3 linked regions of the Arabidopsis thaliana genome follow. The protein of the gene in region 1 binds, or shares a complex with, the protein of each later gene. Each region holds a gene or a part of one and is shown on either strand. Other genes may lie near its edges.

The links.
Region 2: PSRP3/1 (region 1) and PSRP4 share a complex: the UniProt entries of both Arabidopsis thaliana proteins name them as parts of the 30S ribosomal subunit.
Region 3: PSRP3/1 (region 1) and EMB3137 share a complex: the UniProt entries of both Arabidopsis thaliana proteins name them as parts of the 30S ribosomal subunit.

What each region holds. Positions count from the first base shown.
Region 1 is NC_003070.9:25,754,205-25,762,586, forward strand, and holds PSRP3/1 (Ribosomal protein PSRP-3/Ycf65), read right to left. Parts: upstream 4,208-8,382; 5' UTR 3,966-4,207; coding exon 3,741-3,965; intron 3,665-3,740; coding exon 3,389-3,664; 3' UTR 3,223-3,388; downstream 1-3,222. Other genes in the region: AT1G68580 (Agenet and bromo-adjacent homology (BAH) domain-containing protein), read left to right, coding at 1-545, 616-835, 940-1,427; AT1G68585 (uncharacterized protein), read left to right, coding at 2,707-2,820, 2,900-2,981, 3,068-3,222; AT1G68600 (aluminum activated malate transporter family protein), read left to right, coding at 5,743-6,049, 6,550-6,687, 6,767-7,036, 7,120-7,256, 7,342-7,488, 7,960-8,382. UniProt on the Arabidopsis thaliana protein: Component of the chloroplast ribosome (chloro-ribosome), a dedicated translation machinery responsible for the synthesis of chloroplast genome-encoded proteins, including proteins of the transcription and translation machinery and components of the photosynthetic apparatus.
Region 2 is NC_003071.7:15,976,719-15,982,112, reverse strand, and holds PSRP4 (plastid-specific ribosomal protein 4), read right to left. Parts: upstream 1,266-5,394; 5' UTR 1,166-1,265; coding exon 1,009-1,165; intron 942-1,008; coding exon 877-941; intron 789-876; coding exon 654-788; 3' UTR 501-653; downstream 1-500. Other genes in the region: AT2G38150 (alpha 1,4-glycosyltransferase family protein), read left to right, coding at 1-413; ATMAK3 (Acyl-CoA N-acyltransferases (NAT) superfamily protein), read left to right, coding at 1,968-2,147, 2,247-2,367, 2,507-2,562, 3,259-3,474; AUX1 (Transmembrane amino acid transporter family protein), read right to left, coding at 5,321-5,394.
Region 3 is NC_003076.8:4,616,718-4,623,290, forward strand, and holds EMB3137 (Ribosomal protein S13/S18 family), read right to left. Parts: upstream 2,265-6,573; 5' UTR 2,056-2,264; coding exon 1,939-2,055; intron 1,742-1,938; coding exon 1,517-1,741; coding exon of another isoform or gene 1,472-1,516; exon of another isoform or gene 1,290-1,471; coding exon 1,122-1,289; 3' UTR 706-1,121; downstream 1-705. Other genes in the region: CXE16 (carboxyesterase 16), read left to right, coding at 165-705; AT5G14330 (uncharacterized protein), read right to left, coding at 3,230-3,503, 3,722-3,834. UniProt on the Arabidopsis thaliana protein: Located at the top of the head of the 30S subunit, it contacts several helices of the 16S rRNA.

The sequences.
Region 1 (8,382 bases):
AGCATTATGAGAAATTTCTTAAGGTGCCGATGCATGTTCAGACAGTAGCTTTCTTCTGCCAGAAATTATATGGAGATGATGGTTTAAAGCCGTATGACATTACACAACTAGAAGGTTACTGGAGACAAGAAATGCTTAGATACTTGAATGTATCTATTTTAAAATCATTTGAAGGTGCTCAAGCCCCTGGTACTGACCCAGGATTAAAAGCTCCATTGGTTGGTTGTGTTGGGATTAGATCAAGGAAAAGACGCCGTCCTAGTCCTGTTGGTACTTTGAATGTATCATACGCAGGTGACATGAAAGGTGACTGCAAATCTAGTCCAGATTCTGTTTTGGCTGTTACAGATGCTTCTATATTCAAGGGTGACGAAGATGGTTCTTCCCATCACATTAAAAAGGGTTCACTTATTGAAGTTCTTTCTGAAGATAGTGGCATCAGAGGTTGTTGGTTTAAGGCTCTGGTATTAAAGAAACACAAAGATAAGGTTAAGGTCCAGTACCAAGATATTCAGGATGCAGACGATGAATCTAAAAAGCTAGAGGTACACATTTTAAAACCCTTGCTTTGGTTTCGTACCTACTGCCCAGTTTGATAACATGTTTTTGTTGCAGGAATGGATTTTGACATCTCGGGTTGCTGCTGGTGATCATCTGGGGGATCTTAGAATCAAAGGACGGAAAGTAGTAAGACCAATGCTGAAGCCCAGCAAAGAAAATGATGTATGTGTCATCGGGGTTGGTATGCCTGTGGATGTGTGGTGGTGTGATGGATGGTGGGAAGGGATCGTGGTGCAGGAAGTTTCTGAAGAGAAATTTGAAGTTTACTTGCCAGGTGAGTTAAGACACCTCTGAATGCAAATTTTTATTGCAGTTGAAGATCTATCTATATACTATTTTGTGTGACTAATTATTGTTGTTTTGGCTGTTTTCTCTCAGGCGAAAAGAAAATGTCTGCTTTCCATCGTAATGACCTCAGACAATCTCGGGAATGGTTGGATGATGAGTGGCTAAACATAAGATCAAGATCTGATATTGTGAGTTCTGTCCTATCTTTGACGAAGAAAAAAGAGATGGAGGTGAAACATGATGAGAAGTCGTCTGATGTTGGTGTTTGTAATGGTAGGATGTCACCAAAGACTGAGGCTAAACGCACCATCTCTCTTCCAGTAGCTACAACCAAAAAGTCACTACCTAAGCGACCAATTCCAGATCTTCTAAAAGATGTCCTAGTCACTTCTGACTTAAAGTGGAAAAAATCATCGAGGAAGCGGAATCGAGTTGTCAGTTGCTGTCCACACGATCCTAGCTTGAATGATGGTTTCTCTAGTGAAAGATCTTTGGATTGTGAGAACTGTAAGTTCATGGAAGATACTTTTGGCTCTTCAGATGGACAGCATTTGACAGGTCTATTAATGTCGAGATGATCATCAGCTTGGACCTAGTTACTTTTCTTCTTGTGAGGTACATATTACCCTGATGGGCATCTGCTCAATGCGATTTTGGGTTTTAAGATTACTGGTAACTCGCAAGCTTTCTTGGGATGGATTATAGGATTAGCTCGTAATGGCATCCAAATTCGTTTGTGTACTTATGTTGTGACAGTAGGGCATAGTGCTTTAATTCAATCAGCAAAATTTTGGATGCAGTAGAAGTAGGTAATAATAACATTACCTCGCTAGTGTTTTAGGCTTAATCAGTGTTTTTCTCTTAGAATTAAGTTATCATTTTACTCTCTTTAGCATAGAGATGATTCGTTTTCTTTTTGGTCTGGTGGGATCTTTCTTTTCATGTAACCTATGTAACATTAAATAAAATTATCTTGTTACCTTGATCTCAACTTCATTGTCTATATGATACGTACCTTTCTTACTTGTTGAATGTTATGAATAGCTTCTGCATAATTTGATACTCGAAGTTGAGGACACTTGATTATCTTAATGGCACGTAAGTTAAGTATGTCCATGTCCATGTGCCCATAGGGTTTTGTTTTGTGCAGCATTCCAAAGGGGACCAACAAATAAAATTGATGCTCTTTGGTTGTTAGTTGTAACTAGCTGGTAACAATTGATGTTTTCTGGAATCGTCCAACAAGTTTTGTTATCCATAGTAAGAGCGCTTGTTATAAACCACTAACAGTGATGAAAGTTGAGTGTCTTATCTTACACCATTTTAAACTTTTACCTATTATCATCTCTTGTTGTGCTATAGATGATTGGCTTACCAAAAGGTAGGGTAAGGTGAAAAAGGTAAGCTATTTAAATTCGTTTAAGACCAAGTCAGAATCCTCCAACTTGAATGATTTTGGTGGGGTTGCATTTTGGTGAGTGAAGCATCTTTTTCAAACAATGTAGAGGAAATAAAGAGGAGCCAAAAGAACTTGACTTTCTTACTCAGATTAATGGACACTAAGTCATGGATCCAAAGCATATATTATATCTCTATTGTGTGTTAACATGTCTCTTGAGTCTCTAAACTTAGTTTTCTCCAAAGATTAAAGCAAAAGCAAAGATGGGCTTCCTCTGTCACTAGTTTTGCTAACTCATCCTTTTCGGATAGCGACACTCTTCGTTTCCCACTCTTGGTTTGGTGGTTTCTTTAGGATTCTAGATTTTTGTTTTACTTATCTTTCCTTGTACAAGAGACTGTTTCTATAGGATTCTTCATTTCCTGTTTTATCTATCTTCTCTGTGCAACGAGAGTGTCATGGCTACTCTGTCTCAAATCGTCGAGGAGGAACTTGAACCATCACTAAGAAGCAAGCTTTCAAGAACAAGTGAAACCAGTCTCGCTTCTGTCGCATCGTTATCCATGCCACTTGTTCGTTACTCTCTTAACACTTTTGTCTTAGAATGATTCAACTCTGTGGATTCTTTTAATTGATCTTGTGTGTTATCAGATTCAGGAGATTGTTCTATCAGCAGACATCAGATGTAGTGACTGCCAAGAGAAAGTCGCCGACATAATGGCGAGGATGATCGGTGAGTATATAGCTTACTTACTTCCGAGATGAGACACTTTTTTGTTCTTTCCTCTCACGCTTGTTTCCTCTGTTTTCTTGGAGCAGAAACATATTCAATATTGGTGAGTGTGTTGGAGAAGAAAGTGACACTAACGTGTACATATTCCGGTGACCGGAGAGTCTCTAAATCCTATGGTGAAGCTCTTCTCTGCAAAATCTCAACCATCAAGCGTTTGATATGTCCTTCAAGGAAACAATAACTCAGAGTTGCTTGATGTTTGCTTTTATTATCATTTTCTCTTTCCAATAAAATGAATCTTTTATGTCGAATGTGATTGGATATTGTTTAGATAAACAAAAAACTCTCAATAGCAATAATAATCATAGACAAAGTGAATTCTTGAAATGCAGAAATCAAAAAAGAGATTATTGAGAAGTTAAATTGCCGCCACTTTGTTGCCAGAGATTGATGATATCAGTGGCTTGGTTTAGAAGAATGATCATCTTCTTCTGAGAGATCCATGGTTTAGCTTCAAGAGTAGACTTAAGCTCTTCCCAAGCATCTTTCCTAGGCCAGAAGAAGTAAGGACTAAGTGGGATTGTGCCATGTCCAGGTACATGTTGGTCCAATCCTAATCCTATGTTCTTCTCCATCCACACAAACTTGAGTACCACTCTTGATTTCTCATCTGGCTTCACCACCTAACACAAACAACAAAGATTTGTGGGTTTTGTAACACAAGAGACAAGAAGATGAAGAAGAATATGTTGTTTTTACCTTTATTGTTTGTTGTGGAGTGTTGTCGGAAGTATCAATTCCGGTGACTGTTTCAGCGGTGAGTGTCTCTGGAGCTGCTAGAGTTATGATTTTCCGTTTTACAGAGATGGGTTTGGTTGTTTGGGTATGGAACAATGGAGGAGAAGCAGTGATGGAGAGTTTTGGATGTTGAGAGATGAAAGAAGAGCAGAGGGAAGTAGAAGAGAGTGCCATTGATGACATCATTTTTGTGTTTTCTCAGAGAACAATGGAGATTTTGTGAGAATATGGATAAGGAAGATATGGTCACATTTTTGGGTGGAGTTTCAAAGTAGTTTGACTATCAAATTTATGGGCTTTGTTGACTTGGCCCATCATTAAATGGGTCAAGAATACAGAGTTTATTATAAGCCCATGAATACAAACCTGAAGCTTTGAGAAGTAGACTTTTAAAAATACAGACTCTGTTTCAAGTATTTTCGAGGGACTAATTCAAAGATCTCAACATATAAGTATTAATCATATCATATTTAATTCGAATGACATTTGACAGCCACAAGTATTTATACAAAAATTAAAAACCTCATCTTTGTTTAGTGTTCATGATTTGATCAAAGTCAATAAATTTTTTTGTGTGAAATAAATTTTTGTATTAATCAAAACACAATTTTTAACAAAATATAATTATCGATATTGTACGCTGCAAGATGTCCTCAATTTGTTTTATTTATTTATCAAAAACAAATAATTGTTGAGAAAGTGGCCTTTACATTATATATGTCACATGATTCTTTTTACATTATGTCACATGATTCATCTTAAAAAATCGTCTTCTTTATTTTCACAGGTTTGCTGAGGCCAAAGAAGAGTCTTTCTTTGGACTTGAAGTAGCACTGGATAGATGAGATGAGAAAGCCTTTAAGGAGAAAGACACCATGATGGTCATTCATGAACATCATTCGATGAGTATATATAGTAAAAGTTTGAAATACTTCTTACATCGTAGTTATTATATAATGTGCACACGATATTTTTTATTTTCAGCATACAATAATTGGATAAAACAATCAAACTCACCCAAAATACATAAATAATTGTTGTTTCTCAAAAAAAAGTAGGAAAAATCTCATGTGAGGGTGGGTACACTGTGTAGGGTAGGGCTTGGCTTTTGAGCATAGTTAGGAAGTAGTAAGATGCGATGCGGTAGTAAGTAGGAGTTTCAAAATGTCACATTCACACAAGTCACGACCATGAAACTTGTCGTCTCTTTGATACTTGCAACTTCTCCAAAACTGTGGGTCTGTAATTCAATTATTAGAGTCTTGAACTTGAAGAGACTTTAAGATATGTGTGTAAATTTGTTCACCGTCACATTATTGGTCCATTTACATTACACACGTCCACTATAGTTAATTCTCAGGTTGTTTATCCATAGATATCTGTTGTTATTTCTGCGACACTTTTACTGGTCACAATGAATTATGTTGATGTTTAGATTCAACAAAAAAACTTACTAAATCGGGTAACTATGAAAAAATATTATGTAGCTGAGCCAAAAAGGTAAAGTCTACAGTTTAAGAAACATTAACACATTGAACAGAAATTAAGAAATAATATAATTCTATTTTTAATTTTTTTACTGAATAACTAATAGTCACAAAAAATCATATTACGGCCTTACCGGTCCATTTATGCATTACTGGTCCACAAATGTAAATTCTCACGTTTTAAATTCCATCTGTTTCAAAAAATTTGGACACTTTTGGTGGTTAATATGTTAATGATTAGATTTCAACCAAAAACATCAAAGTTATAAATCGGACAATTATTAAAATTTGTAATGTAGATGCACCAAATTGTAAATTTTTTAAAAAAACTTGATTATTTAGAGATGATGAATCGAAGGCATGCATTAATTGCGTAGTACAAAACAAATCTTGATAAATAGATAAATAAACATCTTTCTATTCGTAAGGACGACAAGAATCTCTCAGGTTCTGTAGAATTGTCAGAATCATTTCTAATGGGAGGTAAAATGGGATCAGTACCGGAGCAAAACACAGAGAAGCTTCTCTGGCAGTCAAGCGACGTCGCTGATAGCCGTGACTCCAAGTTCCGGTGTTGCTCGTGGAGGGCTCTCTACGAGGCTCCGGCGAAGTTGTACGCGCTGGGACATTCTGATCGTAGGAAACTTTACTTCTCCATCAAGATGGGAATTGCTTTGGCACTCTGTTCTTTCGTCATCTTTCTCAAAGAGCCGCTTCAAGATGCTAGTAAATTCGCAGTTTGGGCGATTCTCACCGTCGTTCTCATTTTCGAGTATTACGTCGGTATTGATTCTTAACTCATAGCCTAGTTTATGATCCTTTGATTGGATCTTTGAGTTTTGTTTTTATGTTTTGTTGGAATCTTGAACTCAAGACACTTGCGCATGTGAAGCAAATCTAGTAAAGATTCTTTTAATCCTAAGACTGTTCCTTTTTTTGGATTCCATCTTTCATTTTGATGGGTTCGGATTTACTTATTGAGTTACATTTTACTGTATTATTCACATTTTCAGACCAACTCTTATACTTTCTTTGCTTGTTTGTTACTTGGATTGAATATTTTTCACTGTTTTCGAGTTTTCTGTTTATGGAATCCATTTGATGGAACTAAAGACATCAATTGGTTGATTGTATAATCCATCTTTTTGTATAAGTGGATTCAAAGATTTTTTCTATTTTCTCTGTTCAGATTTACTTATTGACTTTGCATTTTACTGTTTTATTTACATTTTCAGATCAATTATTCTCATACTTATTGAGTCACTCTTATGTTCAATTTTCAGGAGCAACTTTGGTTAAAGGATTCAATAGAGCATTAGGCACAATGTTAGCTGGAGGACTTGCTCTCGGCGTCGCGCAGCTCTCTGTTTTAGCAGGAGAGTTTGAAGAAGTCATCATCGTAATCTGCATATTCCTTGCAGGTTTGCAACATTTATATCGCCACAATTTCATTACACACAATGAGGATACTAACATTTAATTTTTCTTTGTCTATGTCAGGTTTTGGTGCTAGTTATTTGAAACTATACGCGTCCATGAAACCATACGAATACGCATTCAGAGTGTTCAAGTTGACATATTGTATCGTTCTTGTTTCCGGGAACAACTCAAGAGACTTCTTAAGCACTGCTTATTACAGGATTTTGCTTATTGGTCTTGGTGCAACCATTTGTTTGCTTGTGAATGTATTTTTATTTCCGATATGGGCCGGAGAAGATCTCCATAAACTGGTGGCTAAAAACTTCAAGAATGTTGCAAATTCCCTAGAAGGTTAGATAAAACATAATCTGTTATAACATGGTTAGCTTATTATTTCAATGTCCCTTATTTCAGGTTTTTGTATTTATCCTTAGGATGTGTTAATGGTTACTTGCAATGTGTCGAATACGAGAGAATACCGTCGAAGATACTCACGTACCAAGCTTCAGATGATCCATTATACAGCGGGTACAGATCCGCTGTTCAATCTACAAGCCAAGAAGATTCTTTGGTATGTTTTACGCATCGTGGAGACACATCTTTAAAATCCGGATTATGGTGATACCTATAGCATTAAAAGAGCTCTGTTTTCGCAGCTTGATTTCGCTATATGGGAGCCTCCACATGGACCTTACAAAACGTTTAACCATCCTTGGAAAAACTATGTCAAACTTAGTGGTGCAGTGAGGCATTGCGCGTTCACAGTCATGGCAATGCATGGATGCATTCTTTCAGAAATACAGGTTCCTTGTTAAACTAATTCATTAAACAATTTGTTTTGTGTTATTAGTTATTACTCTGCTCCATTTTGCTACTAAGGTGAATGATTAATAGAAGAGTATACATAACTCGTTGAGTGTGTATCGTCATAAATGTCTAGCATGTGAAGAAAAGAAAAGATGATGGCACATGAATTGAATAACCGGGGGAAAAAATGTCTAATCCGTTTTGTTATAGGTGTCATAACTGTTATAGCATACATGTGTGAAGAAATCTAAAAGTTGTAATTGTAGGCCCTTTTCAAAAACATATTAATGAAAAGGTACTTAATGAGATAAAATAGCTTTTAGGTCCTCATATTTAGTTTTCTAAAATAAATTTAGCTCTTTATATATATCAGGTTTTCAGCATTATAAAAAGTTGATGTACTTGGCTTGTAAGTTACTATGTTAGATATAATGGTTCAATTATTGTTTGGTGAAATGTTATGGCAGGCATCTCCAGAGAAAAGACATGTTTTCAGTAACGAGCTTCGGAGAGTTGGTAATGAAGGAGCAAAAGTATTACGTTTGTTTGGAGAAAAAGTAGAGAAAATGGAGAAGCTAAGCCTAAGCCTAGGAGAGATTCTGAAAGACGTTCAACGTGCAGCTGAGGCACTACAAATGAAAATAGATAGTAAATCATATCTTCTTGTCAACTCAGAAAGCTGGGCAGCTATTAAAGAGCAAGCTGAAGCGGAAGAAGCTCGAGAAAACGACCAAGAAGCCAAAGACGACGAGACCAAAGTGATCAAATCCTTAAGCCAGATTTGGGATACTAACAACAACAACAACCATCAGAGTAATGATCAATCTCAGCATTGGATGTCAACAGAGAGTATGATGTTAAAGAACCGAGAGATGTGGCCAAGTATGTCC
Region 2 (5,394 bases), on another chromosome or scaffold:
ACAACGCAGTGATGGTCTTTGACATCTACCATCCGCTAATGCGAGAATTCTTGCAAGAGTATGCCACAACTTTCGACGGAAACAAATGGGGATACAACAGCCCTTACCTAGTCTCTAGAGTTATCAAGAGATTAGGAAACAAACCTGGATACAACAATCTCACAATCTTTTCTCCCGATGCTTTCTATCCAGTAAACTGGATCAAAATCCAAAAGCTTTTCAAGAAACCTGCAACCACAAGAGAAGCAAAATGGGTAGAGAAGACAGTACAGGACATGAACAAAGGGAGTTACATGATACATCTGTGGAACAAAGTCACAAGGAAGATTAAGATTGAAGAAGGAAGTGTAATGCACACTCTCGTCTCCACTCACTGCACAGTCTGCGGAAACATCACAAACTCTCACATTTAAAGATCCAAACAGAGACAGATGATTCATCCATCTGATCTATCTAAGTATATAGATTCTCGTTCTTAGTTTGCTTTACTTTTTCAATGTAAAAGACTCAATGATTCATAAAGAAGCAAACTTTTCATAAAAAGATGAGAACTTTGGAGATGTTTTTAACAACAAAAGAGTCGTAGCATCAAAGCTTTTCAAAAAACAAATTAAAATTACAGTGAGAGACAACAAGTGAAGAATCTCATATTTCTAATTAGAGAAGAGAGACTCGTCGATATCGATTTTGATCTTCTCGTCGTTCTCAAACTTATCTTTCCTCGGTGGTGCTGGAGGAACCGGTACTCTCTCCGGTCCTCTTCCTTTGCTCTTGTTTCTTGGCCTCGCCTGCTTACATAAACCCCAAATTCAAAACCAAAATTGCGAATTTGCAAAGTAAAATTACGAAATCGGAAAGAGAAATTTGATTACTTACATTCCCAAAAGAGTGATTGAAACGCTTTCCTTTAGCTGTTTTCCGGTCACCTCTGCCACAGTACACTGCGAACACCGGAAAAGTTACGCCATTGACGAATTAAGAGAGAGTTAGATAAGAGAGGGAGATTACCGAGTGGAATTGAGCTGGATGAGGAAGTGGAGAGAGAGAATTGATGAGTGAAGCAAGAGAGAGAGACACCGGCAGTTTCAGAGTGAGAAGATGATAACCGTGAGGAAGGTAATGCGACGGTGACTCGCGGAGGAGCTCCGAGTATAAGCGACGCCATCGCCGTGTGCTGTTTTCGAATTTGTTCGAAGAAGAAGATCCAGAAGAAGATAAGGCAGTGAGAGTAGAAAAACGATTTTAGGATAGGCTTTTAATTATCTTTTCATATTTGGGCTTTAATTTCAATTGGGCTTATTTTAAAGCCCAAATATATCTAAACCCTACACATGCTTGTCACGTGTGTAATCGACCTTGTTCTTGTTCTTGTTCTTGTTCTTGTTCTTCTTCGTCTTCTCTTCGGAGCTTTTTTCTTCAGATATCACCCAGATCGTAACTTTTGATCTTCGAATTTCACAAAGCTCAAACTTTTGGTAAGTATTCTTATCATCTCATTGATCTTGGGTTTCTAAAAAGTTTCAATTTTTATAATCACATCTCTTTCTAAATCTCTCATTACTTGGTATTTAAAATCTGTGTGTGTTTTTTTCATTCTTATGCTTCACAGGATTCTTTACTAATCCTATTGTCACATAACATCGGTAAGCTCTCTTTTTTCTGAACTCTCAAATCTTCTATAGCTCGCTTTAGCCAAAGTCGTTTGCTTTAGTAGAGTGTTATAGATTCTGCTTCAGCTGTTTATTTGAGGCTTTGAGCAATCTGAGTTTGTTATGAAAACATTGAACTTTCAATTCTGAAACAATCACTCAACTTCGATTCACAGAAAATGATTTATATTCTCTAACTTTGCATTATGTGTTTCATCACTTCCTATAGGAACAAGATCATCAATGTATAAACAACTGATCAGAAGTTCATATTTCTCTTTGTAAGTATACAATTCGGGATCTTGATCACTTCTTGCAATGGAGAAAGAGATGGAAGATAAAGAAGAATTCGATGAGGGTGAGATTGAGTACACGAGTTATGCTGGTGAGCATCATCTGCCATTGATTATGTCTCTTGTTGACCAAGAACTTAGTGAACCTTACTCCATCTTTACTTACCGGTACTTCGTCTACCTCTGGCCGCAGCTATGCTTCCTGGTATTTTGACACTCAGCTTTCGATTATCGTTGCTTTACCCTCATGATACTTATGTTTTGATGGATTTATGAGTAGCATTTGTTTTGTTTCTTTTAATAGGCCTTTCACAAAGGTAAATGCGTAGGAACCATAGTCTGTAAGATGGGGGATCATCGACAGACTTTCAGAGGGTACATCGCTATGTTGGTTGTGATTAAACCATATCGTGGCCGAGGCATAGGTAATACTTGAGCTAGTGCTTCCTAACTTCTTACAGAATCAGATTTTGACTGTGGGAGTAGTGTTTGATCTACTGCAAATACATGCCTCTCTTAAGGTTCGATAATTTTGTGTGCTGACTTGTCATTGTTTTTTTACAGCCTCAGAGCTTGTCACAAGAGCGATAAAAGCGATGATGGAATCAGGCTGTGAAGAGGTATGCTGTTCTTGCATTCTCACTTCTCTCTTTATTCCCACTTTGGAGAACTTAGATATTTGGTAGCACTAGAGTGATATCCTTTCCTGGTAGTATAAATGTAGATAAGACCTTATGAACCACCTTTTCCGGAAGGTTATAAGTCCATTACATGTCCTGAAATAGTGCCTCCTTTTTATCTACTAGAATAGAATTTCATAGCTGAGGTGATGTAGCTGCCTTTAATCATTGCAAGTATACCTATTGCTTTTGATTGTTTAGCTAACTGTGTGTGTAAGTTTAGTTCCACGTATAAAAGTAGTTAATCATACTCCTAAGAGTTGGAACTTTTCGATATTCGTTTAGTTACTAATTTTGTAGTGGAAATCAAAATCCCAGTCTCTCACTTAGTATACATATGTTGTATAAGTCTTGTATGTAGTCCATGACTCTTTATAGTCACACGCATTGGAATGTAACTGATAGTAATATAAAATAAGAAATCCCTGTCTCCCACTTACTAATTGCGTATTCGACGAATCATTTTCTGTTGTATGTGTGATCTCTTAACTGTAATCTCAGTAGTAAATAGATTGGAAAAAGAACCTCGTGATTGGCATTTGCTCTTCAAGTTCCTCATAATCAAGCCTGATTACAACATGAGAGTATGGTTGTCTGGTTATGCAATCTAATTAATGTAAAGATGTATGGCTGAAGGTAACTCTGGAGGCAGAAGTGAGTAACAAAGGAGCATTAGCACTATATGGGCGACTCGGGTTTATAAGAGCCAAACGGCTATACCACTATTACTTGAATGGGATGGATGCTTTTCGCCTGAAGCTCTTGTTCCCTAAGCCTCGTGTACCTCAAATACCTTCTCAAGTTCAAACCCAACAAGAGTATGAGACCTTTCCTAGGCCTCGTGTACCTTAAGGCCATGAACGAAGATGTGTGTTTCTTCAATGTATTCTAAATCCTGAACATGCTAAGACTATGTTCTCTTTCGTATGAAGAAATATTATGTGTTGGTACAATTCTAGTCCCATGTTTATGAAGTATTCTCGACTGGAGTAAGCGATTAATCTGGACGTTTCAACGGTCTTGTGTGTCTACAGAAACAATTTAGCATATTCATATCACTTTGTGGTGTGCGTATATACGTTTTTAAGGTCTCTCAAACTTGGTTGATGATTGGAAACAAAGATCTAAATGTTGTTACAAATTCATATAACCACTTAACTTAACCTAATCGTCTCAGGCTACTCCTGACTTCGAGTTAAGTGGATGATATAGAAATCGAGATGTGAAGTGATTTTCAGCCATCAAAATTTTCAAACAGCTCTATATACCTCAAAAGAAATCCAAGATGACAAAAAATTGATTTAAGGCCAAAGGAGAGAAAGATGCCAGTCAAATGTTATGAAAAGACATGCTTGAATAATTGGTATGAGATATTTTATGAAATACTTTTATTGCATACCGTATTTTACTATAAAACAATTTTCTTTTCACAAACACAACCATCTTAGATTTATCCATGTTAGCCGAGATTTTTTTTGTATCCAGATAGTCCACTTTACAAAAAAAAAAAAGTCTAATATAAAGAAGAAGAAAAGCCTCAAATGTAGTTGCAAAACTCACATGGCCTAAATCAGAACAAATTAAAGACGATTCACCACTCGCCACATAATAGTTTATTGACAATTTGAACCCACTCGTTACCAAGGGTCACTAACCAAACGTTACCAAGGGTCCTACTCCATATCGCATAATATGACTCACATTCACTTCTTCTTTTCTCTTTAACGATTTTATGCTATTAGAAGAAACATTTTTGCAAAGTTCTTTTTTATTTTGACCCCCAACAAAAAAAAAGTCAGATGGAAAGTACAAGAATCGGACTCTGGATTCAAACGAGAATATTAGTTAATAATTTTACATATATAGTTATAATCTTTGGGGGCAAAGTACATGTGAAAGCAGAGCATATGATAAGGGGTAAACGATTGAGTACGAATGGAACGAACACATGCCATATTTAATATGAGGGACAGGAACGGTCCTCTGATCCATTCTTTTGATCAGAGAGAAGATGAAGAGTGTCAAGTAAATAATGGCACGTGACTCGGACGAAGTATCCACGTGCGTCCTCTCCCCACACCCATGTGGCCCATAGGATATATGACCGGCTCCGTCGGTCCAACTTGTCCATGTTCCCCTATTTAATTTTTAAACACACCCTGCCGTTAAATCAAATTTTCCAAATAAATTAAAGTGTTATTTCAAAATTTTAATGTAAACTTAGTAGTATTGTCGCTGTGCTATGATCAAAACTGTATAATTAAAAGATCTAATAGGATCCTAAAGAATTATCTAGTATCGGAAGATATTGTTCATGGTAAAATAGTTTATATAAGTCTAATTAGGATAAATGTATAAGATAAGAATTGTTTTTTGTTACTAAAGACAAGTAAAAGGAGAGAAGACGATACATTTTCTTAGCCTATTGTTTTAACAATACCAAATTAAGAAATCACACACTACATATTATCGACTATTCAATTTTAAAAAAAAAACTAAGGAGTGAAAACAAAAATACAAAACCCCAAAAGAGAAAAAAATAATTAAGAGCTTAGCACGCATTTAAAGGGGTGTGTAAAAAGTACACTATTTTCGTGACTTTTACTCCCTTCACGTATACGAACACAAAACACAAAAGAAGAACAAATAATTTTAAGAACCCTCCACAAACGCATTAGAAGAACCCTGACTCGATCTCTCAAAGACGGTGGTGTAAAGCGGAGACCGGGGCATGTGCGGCGGCTGCAGCTGGTTTACATTGGTAACACTTGG
Region 3 (6,573 bases), on another chromosome or scaffold:
AAGATCTTAAGAATAGTTTCATGTTGATCTAGGAGTAACTTGGTACAAAGTCAGGATTCTTTGGACAACTAGTTAGATGAACTAAGATAGCTTATCTTCCATTGATTGCAATCTCACATCAACTTCTGTGTCTCAACCTGTTGCTTCATATGATGTTAAAACAGATGTGTTCTTCTCGGGGTGAGCTGTGGTGGGAACATAGCAGACTATGTAGCTCGGAAAGCAGTGGAAGCTGGGAAACTTCTAGAACCGGTGAAAGTTGTTGCACAGGTTCTAATGTACCCCTTTTTCATTGGAAACAACCCAACACAGTCCGAAATAAAGCTGGCAAACTCTTACTTCTACGATAAGCCTGTCTCTGTTCTAGCCTGGAAACTCTTCTTACCAGAGAAAGAGTTCGACTTTGACCACCCGGCAGCAAACCCACTTGCCCATAACCGCAGTGGACCACCTCTGAAGCTAATGCCTCCAACACTTACAGTAGTAGCTGAGCATGACTGGATGAGAGACCGAGCCATTGCTTATTCAGAAGAGCTTAGAAAGGTAAACGTAGATTCTCCAGTTTTAGAATACAAAGACGCAGTTCATGAGTTTGCTACACTTGATATGCTTCTCAAGACTCCTCAGGCACAGGCCTGCGCCGAAGATATTGCCATTTGGGTCAAGAAATACATTTCACTCCGCGGCCATGAGTTCTCTTACTGAAAATTTTTACCCTGTTATTATTCATTTTCTTCCTTTTTTTTGTGTGATAGCAAGATTTTCTGGGTAGGATTAGAGACAATCCAAGATCGAGTCTTTTGGCAAAAGCTATAAAATTTTATTTTTTGGTTACTTATGTATTCATATGTACGTATTCTGAATAAACCATTTTTGGTTCGACCAAATTTTCAAGTTTGTTCTTGGTTTGTCATCATTCTTGAATGCTGAAATCTTCAACTTCTTTTGTAACTTTATAATGAATGATGAAGATACGGAATAATAATAGCTAAAAAGCCGAAGATAAACTGGAAAGGGCTCAGTTCGAACAAAGGTTTGGGAATTACAAATCACATTTAAACAGAGATGACTAGACAAACTAAAAAGAGTATTACAGAAGAAGAAGGAGATCATGAAGATGATTACTTGGAAACTTTCTTCTTCCCTGCAATAGCAATTTTCTTGCCTTTAAGAGTCCTGCAGTTGTTCTTGGTTCTCTGTCCCCGACATGGCAGCCCTTGGATGTGCCTTACCCCACGGTAACACTGGATCTCCTTCAACCTCTTGATTGCAAGAGCATTGAACCTCCTCTGCACAACATCCACAACACAAATCAATAATTCATTCACAAAGGCCTAAGAACCAAATCAAAACAAGAGGAAACCCAAACTAAAGCAATGAAAACACCAAATAGATAGCAGCCTAAGTTCTTCTCCAATCTTCAAGAAACTGCTCGAGAATGGACTGACAGAAACTGAAACTATGATGCACATTACTCATGTCCTAAAGTGTGTAAATGTAAGGGAAAGTGTATTACCAGATCACCCTCAATCATGTACTTGGAGACTTCATCACGAAGAATGATGAGTTCTTCCTCAGCCATGTCTTTAGTAATCTTGTTCTCCATCTGAAGATCAACAAGAATCTGACGAGCCCTAGTTCGACCAATCCCATGAATGTACTGAAGAGAGTACTCAATTCTCTTATTAGCCGGAATCTCCACTCCACCAACACGAGCACATCTGATGCTTAGACTCTGCTTCTGCATTTCATTACAAAAAAAAAAAAAAACTTTAAAAACACAGAGACAAATTCCCCCAAAAATTGATGGAGTGTTCTATAACCACCCCTAACCCAAAAATTGACGAACAAGAATGAAGTAACACATAAAAAAACATGAAGTCAAGCTCGATAAATTACAACATCATACGCAAGAGAGAGTCCAAGAGAAATGATTACATTGGGAGTGTTTGAAGCTGGGAGGGCAAGAGTGTTGCGAGAGAGAGGATTGGATTTTGCCCAATTGCAAATGAGTGAGAGCGAGTGCGCTACGGGCATCGCAACCATCTGCGCCATTGTTATGTTCTCTTCCTAGGAATTTCGGATTCTGGGAAACTAATTCAGAGGTGACGAAGAAGAAGAAGAAGATGAGCTGAACGGATAAGGCAAACGTCGAATCCAAACGCTTCTCTTGTTTTTGCTCCGTCTCTACTTACTCTATTCAATTAATTGCTTACAAAACTGGCAAAATAAATACTTGTTGGGCTTTGTTTTTTGTTGAGATAGGCTCGCTATTGTATAACACGGCCCAACTAGTGGACTATAACAAAAATGCAAAAACCGAGTGGACTATAATAAAGTGATACAACTATAAAATGAAAAAAAAAATGATTTACAGATATTTTCTTAACAACTAAGATGAATGGTGTGATCAATGACACACATTTGATCAGAAGACGAAAGGCATGAGCCTTGGCTCCATGTGGGCACGTAGCTATTGAGGATAGAGTCATGATAGAAAAAGATTGTATAAAAAAAATGGTAAGTGTATAGATGAAAAGTCAACGGATGAGAATGAGTCTTGTTAACTATTTATCGAGATGGTCGTTCACTTCGTTATTGTCACATGTTGTTGTATTTTAAGGTGTTTGGGGATTTTTTCCATCTTGCATATATATCTGATTCATTGGAGTTGTACACTTGTACTCATGGTTTTGTTGGCAAGTTTACTACAATATTTCGAGTGTTTTCATGATGTTTATTGTTTCGTACTTTACACATGAAACTAGTTTAAAGCTTGTCGTTCTTCTAATAAGGATATCACTCATTGATTTTGACACCAACGTCTGAATAGTGAATACACCATTATTTGTTGAGGCGTACCCATTACTGTCACGTAAGGCCTGCATTTCATTATTTTGTTTAGGCTGACCCAATTTATTTTATATATTTACTTCGGATATTTATCTATTCTATAACCTTAAGATGAATTAGTTGATTTTAAAAAGAAAGTCCACCTTTTCTCAAACGGGCCATTATAATGCCTTGATTAGAAGATTTGGTTCGAAAAAGAGGAAAATATGATTAAGATAATAAAAAAAACATCAAGAGATAAATGTTTTATTATGATAGGAACACAACATCACAATCTTTGAAGAATTAACAAAAAAAGAAGGAATACATGTGAAAATTAAAATAAAATCTCATAGAGAGTAAAACATATTCTGAAGATGAATGGCAACACATCTCATCAGAAGACGAAAGACATAGCAGCGACCAATGCGGTGGCGATGAGCTGAGGGTAGGCGGAGAAAGTGGCGGCACTTGGAGACGGAGCCTTAGCCATGGGTGGCATTGGAGCCATAGCCGGACCATGGTGGTGGGTTCCGTTGTGCGACTCAGCAGTCATGACCATCACGGCCAAGACAATGCAGATGAAGGCGAAGCGGATCAAAGAACTTCTTGGTGCCATTTGAATGTTCTTCTCCTTTTTCTTCTTATTTGGTTTCTTTCTTTGTTGTTCTCTGTATGATCTATCAACAAAGGGGGTCGAATTTATAGAGAGAGAGAGGGGTCCTATAAAAAATGTTTAGTGGGTTAAAAGTCAACGCATGTGAATGAGTCATGATGTTGAGACGACCTAAATTCGTTATAATTTACATGTTGTTTACTTGAATATTTAAAAAAATGGAAAAAAGGACAGAGTGATCATGGTTATGTGTTTGAATTTGTTAGTGGACACCCATTTATATGTTCGTGAATGTTCTGCCGTTCTGGAACAGCTGTTACATAAGAGGGACGTTTCTTGACTAAGCCAAATTGACCCGGTTTGATTAGGGATTGATTCCAATCCATGTTCTGTTGCCGGAGACCAAAGAAAATGGTGTCTTTTGTGAGGCCGATCAGGGGCTTTGGCTCTTGATGAAGTTCAAAAAGAATAGAAATGTTAGCGTTGGTGATAGTTTGATATTTCCAATAAAGCATTCCAACTGTACCAACAAGTTTTAAAGATCAAACATCCGAAAGTACTATACAATCATTCTTGAAACTTGAAAGCAAACCAGTAAAACTTAAAAAGTAACACCATGATTCTTTTAACTAAATTTAGCAAATGTTATTATTAATATGATTATTTATCTGTTTGAAAAAACTGTAATTCTAGTAAACAAACAAATAATAAAAAGAAAATTATTTGATAAAACGGTAGATACAGTATGTTTGCAAAGAAAAAATTAGTTAACGAATGGAAAGGAGAAACTGATATGCTAAACGAATATTCTACGTAACGCTATCCATAACTACAGTTACAATTTTTAGGCCCAATTAGTGACTATATGAAGATTAAGTTGGACCTAAAGAGACAGTGCTTTTTAGTGGGCCTAAATATGATTCTGGTCCCTTGCATTAATAATTTTTCTTACACATCGTAGGCTCCGTATATACTCTTTTTCCCAACGGTCTCTCACGTATTATTTATTGTTTTTGTGATTTTGTCGAGGTCCCTCTCATATACAACAATACTCTTCTATATTACATTTTTCTAAATTTTAGTTCAGTTCAGTGCACCAAAACAAAAACGAATATTTGGTTAGCTGCAATTTTATTTTCTTGATGTACCACACAAAAGTTAAATATATTGAAGTATAGTAAGTTTGTTGACTACCTATAATGTAAGCTATACGGAAAAGAAAGATGTATGTATATATATATACATACACGTCGACTATAAATCAAATATCTAATTTCTTTTAACGTCTAATAAGTAATAATCGATCGGTTACCTAGGTTTCTATAGTACTTTAATGGAAATTGTAATGTTTACATTATCTGTTTATCACATTACATTATATATGAGTCATGGCGGGTTTTTTTTTCTTTGGGTGTTAATTAAGAGTGTGGCATGAAGGGTTAAATATTCAATTAAGGAAAAACTAATGCAATTTGGTTATATAATTTGTTTTCCTAACAGATTTCTAAATTTAGGTTGGTAATTAAACATTATAATAGACTAGGACATATAGCCTAATGTCTTTCAGAATTGATCTATAATTAGATAGATTTCTAATATTTGATCCCTATTTGGATATATGCACATACCTTCAAGTACATGGCGAATATTCCTCCATGCATTAACGCGAAACCCCACTCCGTATTTGGAGTATTTTAATGCAAATTGTTCCTAACCTTCATTTCTTCTAAGCAACTTAATTAGTTCAATATGAGAACCTTATTTCAAAATACTTTAATAAACAAACTAAGAAATCGATATGATTAAACCCTGAAATCTATATAAAATAGATATTCTTGCTATTAAGTATTTACACATATACAGCAGTTAACATATTTGGAACAAAATACAATAGTAAACATATTTGGAGGGAAAATGGTTCCAACAAGTGTAGTTTTCCAATGACATCTAATATCAATCACTTTGCTTATAAATATATTTTTTCACTTACATTTATAATAAATAAGGGGTTTGTCTGATAATTAATATGTATGTAAATTTTCTAACTTTGATAAGTACATAACTCTTTTAAATATCATCACGATAAGAATACGTGAAGATAATGTTTTGGACATTTCAAGGAAATTAAAATCTTATAAATCTTGTATAATGATGTCAAAATTAATAATCTTATGTACATACTAATCGTCGTTAATAGTATACCATTGACGATGCTAGTTCAGTTCTTTTGGCATTCAGCTGACTAGATGAGTTTTTGTTTATTTAACTGAAAATACTTAAATATAATAGCATGACTAGATGAATTCAAACTTGACTTTCTTTATTAAGCAAGTTGCCTAATCATGACGGTGTAGTGCAAACTAACAAATTATGACGTAAAAAGTCGAGTTCCTCAAAATGTTTTTAACAAGAACAAATTATTTACAAATAGAATAATGAAAAAGAGAAGATGCCTTGATGACAGAATAAGCACAAGGCTTTGAAGAGGGGACCGATGAATCCAAACAAATCTCAAATCGTTTCTTTTAACCAAACTTTTAATCAATCAATGAAATTCCTTCAATTACCAATTAAAGTAATATCATATATCATATGGTAATCATAAGCTTAAAATAACAATTTTGCAATAAAGCAAACAAATAATTAATCATTATGGTTCAGTTTTTTAACTCATGAAAGTCATGTTGCCACCATTATCTACGATAAAATAATTAGTCTGTCTTTATAGAAACAACAAAAGATAATTATGCAATGTTCATATCATCATATGCATATATGTACTTAGTTGATTGCATTTAATTTATCTACACCTATTAAATTAAGTATGGCTTTAGTGCAAACTTTGATAGGTAATGAATCATAAGCTCAAAAGAAGTTTGTCCATAATTATTGTAATACAACCTCACACACTTCTCACCAAATCTTTCTTTAATTGTCTCCGCAATCATTATTTACTGCTTCACTTATTACTAGTGTTTTGCTTTAAATTTGGATTTATTTGTCTTTTAGCCTGTAAGTGACCTGTCAAAGGAGAGAATCTTTGCCCTTCCCAACTCACCTCTTATTATTTATAAGTAATGCCCATTACTTGATCCAACGCTCTCTTGTTTATATTTTTGACTAAC